Linked DNA regions of Canis lupus familiaris. The protein of the gene in region 3 purifies or fractionates together with the protein of the main gene of each other region. This does not show direct contact. Links are inferred from orthologs where the notes say so. Each region holds a gene or a part of one and is shown on either strand. Other genes may lie near its edges.

Evidence for each region. The genes of interacting proteins can lie anywhere in the genome.
Region 1: the proteins of RPL11 (region 3) and GNL2 purify together in Homo sapiens (co-immunoprecipitation; 3 studies listed by BioGRID and IntAct, with this or other methods). This does not show direct contact. The link is inferred for Canis lupus familiaris from reciprocal best matches to the Homo sapiens genes RPL11 and GNL2.
Region 2: the proteins of RPL11 (region 3) and SURF2 purify together in Homo sapiens (affinity purification with mass spectrometry; 3 studies listed by BioGRID and IntAct, counting the BioPlex papers as one, with this or other methods). This does not show direct contact. The link is inferred for Canis lupus familiaris from reciprocal best matches to the Homo sapiens genes RPL11 and SURF2.

Annotation. Positions count from the first base shown.
Region 1 is NC_049236.1:4,965,268-4,969,514, reverse strand, and holds the start of GNL2 (nucleolar GTP-binding protein 2), read right to left. Parts: upstream 2,824-4,247; 5' UTR 2,685-2,823; coding exon 2,621-2,684; intron 636-2,620; coding exon 551-635; intron 1-550. UniProt on the Homo sapiens protein: GTPase that associates with pre-60S ribosomal subunits in the nucleolus and is required for their nuclear export and maturation.
Region 2 is NC_049230.1:49,844,906-49,848,986, reverse strand, and holds the start of SURF2 (surfeit locus protein 2), read right to left. Parts: upstream 2,824-4,081; 5' UTR 2,765-2,823; coding exon 2,687-2,764; intron 2,606-2,686; coding exon 2,394-2,605; intron 1,981-2,393; coding exon 1,877-1,980; intron 422-1,876; coding exon 233-421; intron 60-232; coding exon 1-59.
Region 3 is NC_049223.1:75,176,865-75,181,134, forward strand, and holds the start of RPL11 (60S ribosomal protein L11), read right to left. Parts: upstream 2,847-4,270; 5' UTR 2,824-2,846; coding exon 2,818-2,823; exon of another isoform or gene 2,678-2,817; intron 2,077-2,677; coding exon 1,926-2,076; intron 798-1,925; coding exon 691-797; intron 244-690; coding exon 112-243; intron 1-111.

The sequences.
Region 1 (4,247 bases), on a different chromosome or scaffold from region 3:
TTGACGTTTGTGTTTTAGACACATCTTTCAGAACGGATGAAGAATCTAATTACCAAACAAATTAAGACCAGCTAGCAAAATGCCACGCTCAGCAAGTCCCCATGGTAGAGGCTGCCTCAGCAGAACTCACAGTCGTGATGAGTTTCCAAGTGCCACAATGTTGTGATCTAAAGTTCCGCATTAAAAAACAAGTTTTCTGGCTGCTTTCATAACCACAGTCCTATATAATTTGTTAAAGAAAAACCAGATTTCTATCTGAAGGATATTTAACTTGAGATTTAATGTGCTATCCATGGAGGCTGAAGCTGTGAGGAATAAAACCTCCACTGGTCATACAGTCTTGTGACACAATCACTGTTTCACCACCCGCTGCCCACGTCTTGAACCAAAACTCCGCCATTTATCATAACACCACCCATATAAGATGATATTTGAAAACATACTACTCCTAGTTGGGGAAAGTGGCAGTGGGAATATCAAAGGTTACGAGGTCTCAGCTACAAGTCCGGGGCATGAAGGAAAGGGGAGGAGGACAATGTGTAATGCTCACCTGCGCTCCTTTTGCCTGTACATATTCAGGCGCCGGATGGTGGCCCGGTCCCTCATGTTTTGGCCCCCTGCTCCCTGCACTCGATCTAGGAAAGACAGAAGCCGACCGCAAACTATTTGATAACCAAGCTTAAGTACAGTCAGAGCCTCAAACACATCAACTAGTTCACTCAAAGTAGGCAAGCTGCGGCCTGGCTGCAAAATCTCTTTCTCTTTCCCTCTATCATTCCAACGGAATTATTATCACTGGAAGCTACGTGGTAGGACAAAGCTGACCTGATCTTTGATCCTCAGTATGACTGTCGTTTGATAAGAGTTAATAATTTTGAGCATTAACTGTGGCACTGTGCGATCCGCATTACAGGCATCACCTCGTGTAAGCCATATGATAATCCTATAACGAGATACACTATCCTCATTCTGCAGGCTAAGAAACTGAGGTACAGGTGGCCAGATCACCTTGCCCAAATCGCACAGCTACTAAGTGGCAGAGCCAGAATTTGAACAAAAGCATTACATTACCATCTGGGCTCTTACCTGTCTCAGTTGGAACAGATTGAGTGCCTGCTACAGGCAAGGCATCGTGGAGACTACAAGTTTGATACTCAAGTGTTCCTTACGTACCAGTTTCTTCATTTCTTACTGTTTTAGTTCGATAAACAGCAAAGAAAGTGGAAGTTTTTGCTTTACGGCTCAGAGAGAAAGACAAGGACAAATCAGCATTGCTAACACTAGCCCAGCTTTCCTTTTGGGGGATGACGTCAAGTCACCTGTCTACTCCTGAAGTGATAGAGTAGAAATCAGGCTGACATCCCAGCACTGGCCGCTCTGCTGCTCACGAGCTGCGCCAACCAACCAACCAACCAACCAACGGTGATTAGCGACTTCCCCAATTTTGGCTCCATCTCTTCCCCCTGTAACATCATAACCTCTAAAAGGCCTTTTCGGGGTCTAACAGTCTAAGATTCCAGTCTACGCATATCAGATAATTTATCAGCAATCCAGGAAAAACATTCGACGTGAACTAAAGTTCTCAAAAAACTTTTTTTAAAAACAAAGTTTTATTAACTAAACCCAATAGAAGGGATCCCCCCTACCCCCCACCCCCCAAACCACCTTGTTCATCCTGCACGTGGGAACTCAGTAGAACTAAACATCTCTAAAAACACCCTTATTTAGGGATGTCTGGGTGGCTCAGTGAGCATCCACCTTCAACCCAGGGCGTGACCCCGGGGTCCCGAGATCGAGTTCCCCCATCGGGCTCCCTGCACAGAGCCTGCTTCTCCCTCTGCCTCTGTGTCTGCCTCTCTCTCTGTGTCTCATGAATAAGTAAATAAAAATCTTAAAAAAAAAAAAAAAGTCTTTGGGACGCCTGGGTGGCTCAGCGGTTGAGCATCTGCTTTGGCTCAGGGTGCGATCCTGAGGTCCCAGGATGGAGTCCCACGTCGGGCTCCCTGCATGGAGCCTGCTTCTCCCTCTGCCTGTGTCTCTGCCTCTCTCTGTGTCTCTCTCGTGAATAAATAAATAAATAAAACCTTAAAAAAATAAAAAATAAGTAAAAAAATAAAAAAAATAAATCTTTACTGGAATGATCACCAGGTATCCATCTGTAGGGTTTTCTGTGCCCTTTACAGGCGGGATTTGCCTCCAAAGGCCAAATGTAGAACCCCCCACCCCCCTTTCTCATTTAAAGGGTCAAAGGCAGCCAGAGGGGCAGGGAGGTGCGCCAGCCGGGTCTGCCCTACACCAACCACCCTGTAATGGGGCTTTATCTAATTTGCTTCTAGCAATTCCCTGGGCTGGAAAGCTGCAGTCCTCCGGGGCTGAAATACACTGGGGACAGGCTGATGCCCCACACAGGACCTCGGGCAACTGGAGATGCCCCAGGGCTGCCAGGCCTGAGCGTTCACTGCCCCCGCCCCCCCTGCCCTGAGAGCCGTGCAAGAGGTCAGGGCCCCCGAAAGGAAAGCACCACCTCGTCCCGGCTCGGCCCCAGCATCCCCCGGCCCCGGCGCCCCTCCTCCCTCTCGGCCTCCTCCGAGCCCCCCTCCGGAGCCCCCGCCGCCCGTACCAGGGTTGGTGCTGGCCTTGGAGGGGTTGATGGTGCTCCGTCCTTTGTACCTGGGCTTCACCATCTTGCCGACCCGACGGGAACCGGGGCGCTAGGCCGAGGGAGCCCTGACCGGTCAACTAAGCCCGCAGCGCCGCAGGACCCGCCGAAGCGCCCCCTTCCACAACCACGCCGGACCACGTGGGCGCGGGCGACGTCACTTCCGCTCGCGTCCCGCGCGACTTCCTGCGAACGCGCGGCGCGCGCCGCCGCGCCCTTGGCCCCGCCCCGGCGGAGCCCCGCCCCCTTTAGCGGCCGTCCCGCGGAGACCCCGCCCCCTTCGCTGCCTAGCAACCGCCAAGCTGACGCCTGGGTACCAGGCCCCGCGCGAGCTCCCGGGGGCCCAGGCCCAGGCCGGCCGGCCGCACGAGCTTGTGCTCCACTGTCTTCTGAGGTTGTCCTCTAACTCTTACACAAGGCGAGGACCATACAGCAAAGTAGCAGTCGGGGCTTCTCACTTTTCTTAAAACTCCAACAGCGAAAAAAAAAAACCACCAAAAAAAATTCCTCCAACAGCACATCATCATCCTCCCTCTTAAAGAGAGATTGAAAGAAACTCACAACCCCTTACCATCCCTACAGAATTCTGCAGGGTCTGGCCCCTGCCTATTTCACCTCATTTGCACCTCCCTCCCTCCCCGGATTCTGACATTTACACTAGATCCCTCCACCTGAGTCTCTCTTCCTTGAACACTTGCGTAGCTGGTTCCTTCTGCTCTTTCCCTTCTCAGCTCGGATGTCACCTACTGGTAGGGTCGCAAGATTTCGTAAATAAAAATACATGAGACCTGGTTAAATTTGCATTTCAGATAAACATATATACGTGCTGCCGAAGCGAGCACTGCATTTCAGGTAAACGATAATTTTTAGTGCAAGTATGTTCCATGCAATATTTGGGTGGTCCTTTCACTTAAAAAAAAAAACCTAATAGTTTATCTGAAATGCAAATTTAACTGGGCATCTGGGATTTTTATCTGGCAATATTTTCTACTGGGAGAAGACTTTCCTGTCTGATCTTTCCAAATCAGTCATCTACTGCCCTTCTGCAGTTATTCTGTTTTATTTCCTTCATGGCATTTATCACTAGCTGCAATTATGTTATGTACAGGTCTATTGAGCATCTCCAAAGCTAGAATATACGTTTCTTGAGAGTAGGGGCCTTGTAAGTTTGTTCACTACTGTAACTCCACATCTTAGAATAGCACTTGACACACACAGTAAGGACTCAATAAATATTCACTGAATGAAGGAATGGATAGATGGAGTTTTTAGCTCAGTCTGTTGTAACAAAACACCATGGACCAAGTGCTTTAAACAACACACATTTTTAAAAATTTTTTAAATTTTTTATTTATTTATTAGAGAGAGAGAGAGAGACAGGCAGAGGGAGAAGCAGCCTCCACGCAGGGAGCCTGACATGGGACTCGATCCTGGGTCTCCAGGATTATGTCCTGGGCTGAAGGCAGCACTAAACTGCTAAGCCACCGGGGCTGCCCACAACACACATTTATTTGTCACAGTTCTGGAGGCTGGGAAGTCCAAAGGCAGGGTGCCCGATAGTTGCGTTTCTAGAGCTCTCTCTCGAGCT
Region 2 (4,081 bases), on a different chromosome or scaffold from region 3:
GTCACTGCTGCTGTCGCCAGGCTCAGTCCTTCCCAGGTCCTTTCTGGTGAACAACTCGGCTGGAAGGCACGGAGGGACGGGCAATTTCAGCTTAGCTTCACCGTCTGCACAGGGCTGAGCAGGGGGTGGCCAGCCAGGGCCCAGGACTCGAAGTGGAACAGACGGAGGCATAGACCAGACAGCCAGGACCCAAATCTGCAGGAAGTGGGGTGGGGGGGGCAGTCCCACTTACGTGGGTACAGGTCTGTCATGCTGTCCTCACTGTCACTGGCAGCTGCATCGTCCTCGCTGGATGCAGGTTCCCAGAAGGCTTCTCTTGAGTGAGGTGGCCCAGTGCCGTCCATCTGGGCTTCCTTCCTCCTCCTCTTGTGCAGGAGGCAGGCGGGCACATATTCCACACCCTGCTTCTGACACTTTTCATCTGGAAGACAGACCAGCACACTGCCTGGTTCTGTGCCTGCCCCTGTCCTCCAGTGTAGGGCCATGCAGGGGTGGGGCCTTGAGCACTGAACCCCCCAGCCCTTCCCTGGCCTCAGGAGCCCCAGGGAGGGCTGCTGGGCCCTCACGCCGGAGCCACAAGGTCCCATGTAGAGGACTCAGTGAGGCCAGGAGCTCAGCGTGGCAGATCCAGATTGAGCCGAGATGAGGAGCAGGGTGGCACCGACGAGCCTGGCTTCTGAACCCTGCCCTGTGTGGGCATGGCTCCTGTCCATGCAGGCCCCTCAGAGAGGAGGGAGGGGACTGGGCCCCCTGGTCTGATGTCTGCTTCTGCCCTCCTCCAAGGACATATCCTCTGCCTCACCTCTGCCCCACAGGGCCTTGTGGCCACTGGGCTCTGCACCCGGGTCTCCTCTCTGCACTCCCAGCCGCTGGACCTATGAACCACCTACCCCAACATAGGATGAGTCTAGCCTGTGGGGAAACCCAGGACCTCCTTCCCGCCCACACCAAGCAGCCCTCAGTCTCTGCACCCGCGTAGGATGCCTGCTTCTCAGCTGTCCACAGCATCCCTCACTACTGTCCTGAGGTGAAGACTGTGCCTCGTTTCTTCCTGGGAGAAACCCCGCCTTCAGAGTTCTCTTCCTTATCCTGTCTCTGTGTCTGTCCCCAAAGCCCCTGGTCGTCCCAGCACTCCTAAAACTTCTGCCCCTGACCCCTCCACCTGGCTCTTCTCACCCTTCTGGGCTCCTTCGTGGTCAGGCCCAGCCCCATCCCTTCTTCCTTCGCTCCGTGTCGGTGATGTGCACCCTCTGAGCGCTGGCCCGACTTCAATAGCCACCGTCCCCCGACACAGGTTGAAAGGAACATTTCATTTCCTCAGGGGGTCTCTTATCCAGAGGCCACTTTCCAAACCGCCGGTCTTGAGCCAGGAATTGAGGAATCCAGGTGATTTCTGACCTCATTCCCTCACCTACTGATTCTAGCCACAGACAGTTCTGCCTGTCCGCATCTTCCCTACCCACAGTGGTGGTGCCACAGCCCTGCTTCTGTCCTTTCAATGCATCTCCACCTCCCGTGGTCCAGGCCATGGCCTCCAAGACCCCCTGTGGTCGTCTCCACCTCCCTTGCTGACTGACCTCCCCTTGCATGGTGGCATGGAGGCCGTCCTTCAGGAGCTGCGGCAGCCAAGCGTTCTTCTGACCTTGGCTGAATCCCTGCCTCTACTCTCCACAGACAGCCCTCGGCACCCGTCCTTCACAGCACGTAGCAGTCACCAGCCGCCTGCTTCATCCCCACCTCCAGCCCCATGCCTCCCCAGGGCTGGGCCCAGGGCACCACCAGCGGCTGCCAGTGGGTGACTGAGACGCCGCTGCTGCCTTCCAAGGGCGCTTGTCCTGGAGGAGAGAGCAGGCCGTGTCCACCCACGGCTACTTACATTCACACAGGGCTCTCTGGTACCGCTGGCCCTGGGTGTGCCTCAGCACATGCTCTGGGGACTTGTTGATGTGCCGCAGGGTGAGTTTGCAGAACAGCTGGTGCCTGGGGGACAGGGACAGTCATGAGGATCTCAGCCAGCCTGACAGCAGAGGCCTAGGATGGGGCCTGGGCAGCAGGCGGTCCCCTCTGCAGCCGAGGCGGACGAGCACTGGTCCGGCCGGGCTGTGACCTCCCGCGGTTGGCCTGGAACCCAGGCCTGGCCAGCCTCAGCGGCCCGCCCCCGCTCCAGGGATGCGGGAAGACGCGGCGGCCCGGCCGAGCGCGAAGCAGCAGCCCCCAGCGCCCTCTTCCTGTCAGCCCCTGCCCGCAAACAGCGGCGGCTCCACCCAAGTCCTCCCTAGGTATGTGAAACTGGCCCCATTCCGAACCCGAAGGGACAGACCTCGGCCCCACGAGAAGCAAACAGGCCGCGGGGAGGGGCCCGGCCTCCCCCGGCTGTCGGCTGCCGTCGGTACCTCACCACGGTGGGCACGTCCCCTCGGAGCCCGCCCGCAGCGGCCCCGCGCACGTACGGGTTCTTGGTGCTGGGCACGATGTGCGGCTCGAACTCCGCGTAGTCGAAGGCCGGGTTGGCGCGGACCAGCCGCCGGTATTTCTTGCCGCGGGTGTAGACCTCGAGCTCCGGCAGACGGCAGGGCAGCTCGTGGCCGGTGAGGACGCACTTGACCTGCGGGCAGGAGGGCGGGCGAGGCGGTCAGGGGGGCCCGGGCGGCCGCGCGGCGCCGCGCCTCTCCCCCGGCCCGCGGACCTTGTGCGCGCCGGGCTCCAGCCGCAGACTCGGGTGCTGGCGCAGGAAGGCGCGCACGGCGGCCGGAGGCTCGCCCATGGTCAGACCCGCAGGCGGGCGCCGCTCGCACCGCGTGGACCGTGCGCCGGGGGCGGGGCTCGGCGGTGCCCCGGAAGCAGATGCCTCGCGGCCCGGAAGTGCCGGCGGGCGATGGCGGCGGCCGTGCGGTGGCTGGGGCTGCGGGCGGCGGCGGCGGCGGCGGAGGGGCGGGTGAGCGGCGCGGGCGCGTCGGGCGGGCTGGGGGCCAGCGTCCCGGCTTGGGGAGCTCAGCCTGTGTCCCGGTCTCCGCAGGGCCCGCCCCGCGCGGTCAGGAGGAGCGTCCTTGCGGTCCCCCTGCGCCCAGGTGAGGACTGGCTCGCGGGTGCCCCGGGCGCCCGGGAAGAGCCGCCCCCGCCCCCGTCCCCGCCCCCGTCCCCCGCTCTGCCCGGGGGCCGCGGCCTTGAGGGGAGCTCGGAGCTGCCCCCTTCCAGCGCCTGATGGGGTTTGAAGGCCGGGAGCCTGGGACCCGCGGCCTGCGGGCTGCGCGTGCACCGACAGCCGGGAGCGGGGCGCCGCGCGAGGGGGAAGGGTGCTCGTCAGCGCGCTGCAGCCTTTTTTTTTTTTTAAACTGTCCACAAAGCCCGTGTTGCTGACTTGAGACTCACGCTCCGACAACTAAAATATACTTTCTGAGTACGTTGTTCCAGCTTTAAGTTTACGAGCAGTGGAAAGGAAGGTGTTCGAGCGCCGTGAGCCGTGAGCCGCGATCCCGGGTTTTCACGGTTCTGCCTCTGCGCGGGTGCGTCTTAGTGCAATGTATTGTTGTGCACAATGTCGTGCACAATGTAATACATGTGCACATAGTGCGCAGGGAATTGTTGTGTAAAAGGCGCAGGTGGTTACAGGAGTTACCCGGGGTCACAGCTGGTGGCACAGCAGGACTAAGCCCTAGGCCGTGTTTATTCAGTCAGTAAACATCACCGAGTGTGCAGCGTGTGGCCCCAGTTTAGAAGCTGGGCTGGACGCAGGTGTCACTGGTTGGCTGCTGGCCACAGGCTGTGGCCTGTTTACTGTCTGGCAGTAGTGGTGGCGTCTCCTTGAGGGATTGGCTGCTCCCATTCTATTTGTCAAGGGCTTCTGACCCTGGGCCTGTGGTGTTGAACTTCCCAGGGTTGGCCTGGAGGCCAAGCAGGTGTGGCAGTTCTGCAGCTGAAGCACCTGCCACAGAAGCACAAGAGGACTCCTTCCTCCAGTGGTTCCTGCTTCTCATTCCTGTGACAGCCTTTGGCCTGGGGACATGGCAGGTAAAGCCTGACTTCTAGCTCTGGAGGCTCTGAGCTTTTGCCGTTGCTGCCATCTGCTCGGGTTTGTACTGTT
Region 3 (4,270 bases):
CTCAAAGTTTCAGTCCAACATTTGAACATCAAGATAGCACACACAAAATAAAGGAGTAGCAGATTCCACTCTTCTCACAGACCAGGAGTAGAAAAGACTAAATATTCATACCACATAGAAGTCCAGGCCGTAGATACCAATGCTTGGGTCATATTTGATCCCCAGATCGATGTGCTCCTGGATCCCAAAACCAAAGTTTCCAGTATCGGAGAAGTTATTTTTTCTTAACTCATACTCTCGCACCTAAGGAGACAAATGCAGCAATCATATCCCTCGTCAATTCAAATCCCCCCAAATTATTAGTTTAGTCCTCATCACTCAGCACCCTGAGATACAATTCGATATAATTTGATCATGAACAAAAATCTCATTTCCCCACGACACCAAATCACAACCCACGATAGGAGTTTCTAGAGCTAAAAAAAAAAAAAAGAAAAGAAGAAGCAGTTCATAGAGCTTTCCCAATATTTAAAAGGCATTGAAAAACCCAGAGAAATCATTCAAGAATAAAGTTTAAAACCTTGTTGGGTGCAGGAAACACCCTTTAGAGGTTCAAAAAAATTTCAAATTAAAAAAATATATCAAGGGACCAAAGACAGTGTACAAAGTATAACCACTGCCACTGTAATTATCTAGTTGTTAACACATAAGCTGGTGCTCTTTATTATCCCATGAGGGGATCAGCCTCACCTTTAGACCTTTCTCCAGGATTTCTTCTGCTTTGGCCCCACGGACTGTGCAGTGGACAGCAATCTTTTCATTTCTCCTGATACCAAAGGATCTAACCGTGTACCTAGCTGCAGGAGGGGAAAACAAGGAGTCAGGTATCACACTCCCACTGCACTCACCTCTTCCCTAGAACATCATCTCCACAATTCTAAGACACATTAAATATCCACCCACATCCTAAGTGCTGGCATTCCTACCAGTGTCACCTACATCTGGTTTCATCCATAGCACAGAAAACAGATTTTTCAACTTCCAAGTCATTCAATCATACTTAAGCAATTAAGAGCTCAAAGTCACATCTAAGTCTCAGGACGGGCCAAGTTCACAGCCAGAAGAGGCCACTAGAAAGGAATATGGTCACTGTATTCTAAAGAAAACAAAACATTATTGATAATTCTCTAATGTTATCCTGTTATAGATGAGGTTCTGGGAGGTTAACTTGCCCCAAATCACAGTTGGTAACAAAAGGCAGGATCTAAACCCAACAATGTGCCATACTGCATTATCCTAAAGCAAAGAAACTTAACGATGCTAATGTCCACGCTGGGCTTGGTATGTAGCAGGCACTTCATAAAATCTATTTTATTTTTCACAATCTTATTATCATCTCATTTAGGCAAATAAGGAAGCTGAGACCCAGAAAGGCTGAGGCCAGACCCGCAAATGATGGGGCCAGGATTTGAACCCAGTTGGCCTAGGCACAGAGCCCTTCTCCATGTAGCCTATAAATTCTCAGTGAGTCATTCAAGCCAAATATCACCTAGTGCATTCCTAATGTTTCTAACTTTACCCGGAAAAATCTCTACTTAGGCTGGCCCTGGCTGAAGCTCTGCTAACTTAAAGACCTGGTATTCCAAAACCAAACCCGTCTTGAAAGGAAAATACTTTGGGATCCCTGGGTAGCTCAGCAGTTTGGCGTCTGCCTTCGGCCCAGGCAGTGATCCTGGAGACCCAGGATCGAGTCCCACATCAGGTCCCTGCATGGAGCCAGCTTCTCCCTCTGCCTCTCTGTGTCTCTCATGAATAAATAAAATTAAATAAAACAAAGGAAAATACTTCTTGGGTAGCTCAGGATGGTGATGCTTTTTAAGGGGCATCAACTGTCACTTTCAAAACGGGCACTGAAGAGGCTGTATACCAGGTAAATTAGAAAAGAACATGCAGGGATGTTCTCTCCCCTGACGGCCACCACTGACCTTTGGAGAACACTGGGGTCTGGCCCGTGAGCTGCTCCAGCACCTTGGCCGCGCGGGTCAGTCTGTCTCCACTCTCCCCCACACAGATGTTGAGGCAGAGTTTGCGGATGCGAAGCTCCCGCATGGGGTTCTCCTTTTCACCTTGATCCTGCTGCAACGAGGGAAGCGCAGCAGTCAACACGCCACCCCGCCACAGCTCCGAGTCCCACATCTGTAGACACCGCCTACCTAGTTCTGCTCATCCCGGTTCCTAACGACAGCCTTACGGGCTTGCAAAGCATCGCGGTGTCTGTGCACCAGCTCGGGAGCTGGGCTCCCCCTCCGCGCCAGGAATGGACGAACAGAAACTTGGGGCAGGTAGCGGGAGTTCGAACCCCAAGGGGCTCACCCCCGTAAGGTGTCGGAGCGCGCGTCCCCGCTACAAAGCCGACGGGCAAGAAAATCGGATTTAAACGCCGCTGAGGAAACAGGAAGCGCGTGGTTGGGCGACGTCCCCCATTCCTTTCGGAAGCAGCCCGGGGGGCAGAGGGCAGGCGGCCTCCTCGAGCGGAGGGGCGGGCTGCGGCTCCCTAAGCACCCGGCAAGCCTCAAGTCCCCGGGACGGGGAACAGGTCCAGCCCCTCCGTTCGCTCCGTCGCCCTCCCCGCAGCTGACGCGCCGCGCTCCGCTCGCCCTCCCGGCGGCCGCCCCCAGCCGGCTGAGGAGCGGGAGGGGAGCGGGAGTGGAGGGGGCAGGGCTCGGCTCCGCGGCCTCGGCCCGCATGGCTCTGCCAGTTCCGCCACGGCGAGCCTTACGGGCTCCCTTCTCCGGCCGCGGACGAGGCAGCTCCCGCCTCGGATGAAGGCGGATGGAGGCGGATGAAGAGAAGCAAAGCAGGGCCTCAGCTACTCACCGCCATGGTGGAGAACAGGAAGAGAGGGCGAAGCTTCCGGCCCAGGGCCTTATGGGTCAGGAGGCGGGCTCTCTCCCCAGGCTGCCCCGCGGGCCGCGGCGGGCGGCGGGCGGCGGGCGGGCGGGCGGGTGGGCGCCGCCTGGTCCCCGGGACGCGGGTTTTCCAAAAATAGTTTTTTAAAGCTTTTCCTTGAGCTTCCGGTCTCCACGGGCGCCCTTCCCTCCCACGGTCTCCGGACCTCGTGGTTCCTGGCGTGAACCGACTTCCAGGGCCACGTGAAATCAGTCGTGCAAATCGCCAAGTAGGGGATCCCTGGGGGGCTCAGCGCCGCCTTCGGCCCGGGGCGTGACCCTGGAGACCCGGGGTCGAGTCCCGCAACCGGCTCCCTGCACGGAGCCTGCTTCTCCCTCTGCTGCCTCTCTATCATGAATAAAATAAAATCTTAAAAAAAAAAAAAAAAAAAAACTAAAAAAAAAAAAAAAGAAAATCTTAAACTTATTCGGGGACAATGTGAACATGTGGAATTTATAGTTAGAACAGAGGTGGCTGAAGAGCCCTGAGCTGTGGAGACGCAGTCGTGCTCTAGTTAACCCAATACGCGACCCCGGCCAGGTTACTAATTAGACCCTCTTTGAGCCTCAGTTTTCCTCAGCTTTAAAATGGGTACCTAGATCATAGGAGATTGTTGTGAAAGTTAAATGAAGTAATTGTGTAGAGCACGCATAAGGGGTTACGCTTTTATTTTTTTTAATTATTTATCTATTCATGAGAGACAAGAGAGAAGCAAGAGACAGGCAGAGGGAGAAGCAGGCTCCATCCCAGGATCCCCTGGATCACAACCTGAGCTGAAGGCAGACGCTGAGCCTCTGAGCCACCCAGCTGCCCAAGAAGGGATTTCTCTTAATATAAACCCACTATATCCAAGCAACCCCCTTCCCCCGCCCCCCAAAAAATGTTAGACATGGTGTATAATCAACAGTCATCCTGCACGCCCAAAGATGGGTTGCAGATTAGTCTGACAGACAAAGGCTCTGCTGGCAAACAATAAGCCAGCTCTGCTGGCTTCCCGGTTTACACTAATTCTCAGCAGCAGCACCGCAGGGAGAACCTGGCATTGAATCCACCAGTTTCTTTAACAGGAATAAATAGCCAAAGGACTTTGGTGGAAAAGGAGACAAGCCTCTCACTTCTACCATTAAACCCCCAGGTTCTCCTTGTTTCATCCAATAGGCACACATGGGACTTCTGGGAAGCTGGGCTGATAGAGAAAAGAGACACACACGCACCCAACACCCCCCAACCACACTTTTGATTTTCCTCCATCAGGCACCCACCAACTAGCCCAGAGCAGAGGCCTCAACCAAAGCTCTGGGAGGAACAGAGCCAAGGGAGGGGCTGCTCCAAAGCTTGGAATAAAGAGCTCAGACTGCTGAATGCAACAGATGACCTTGGA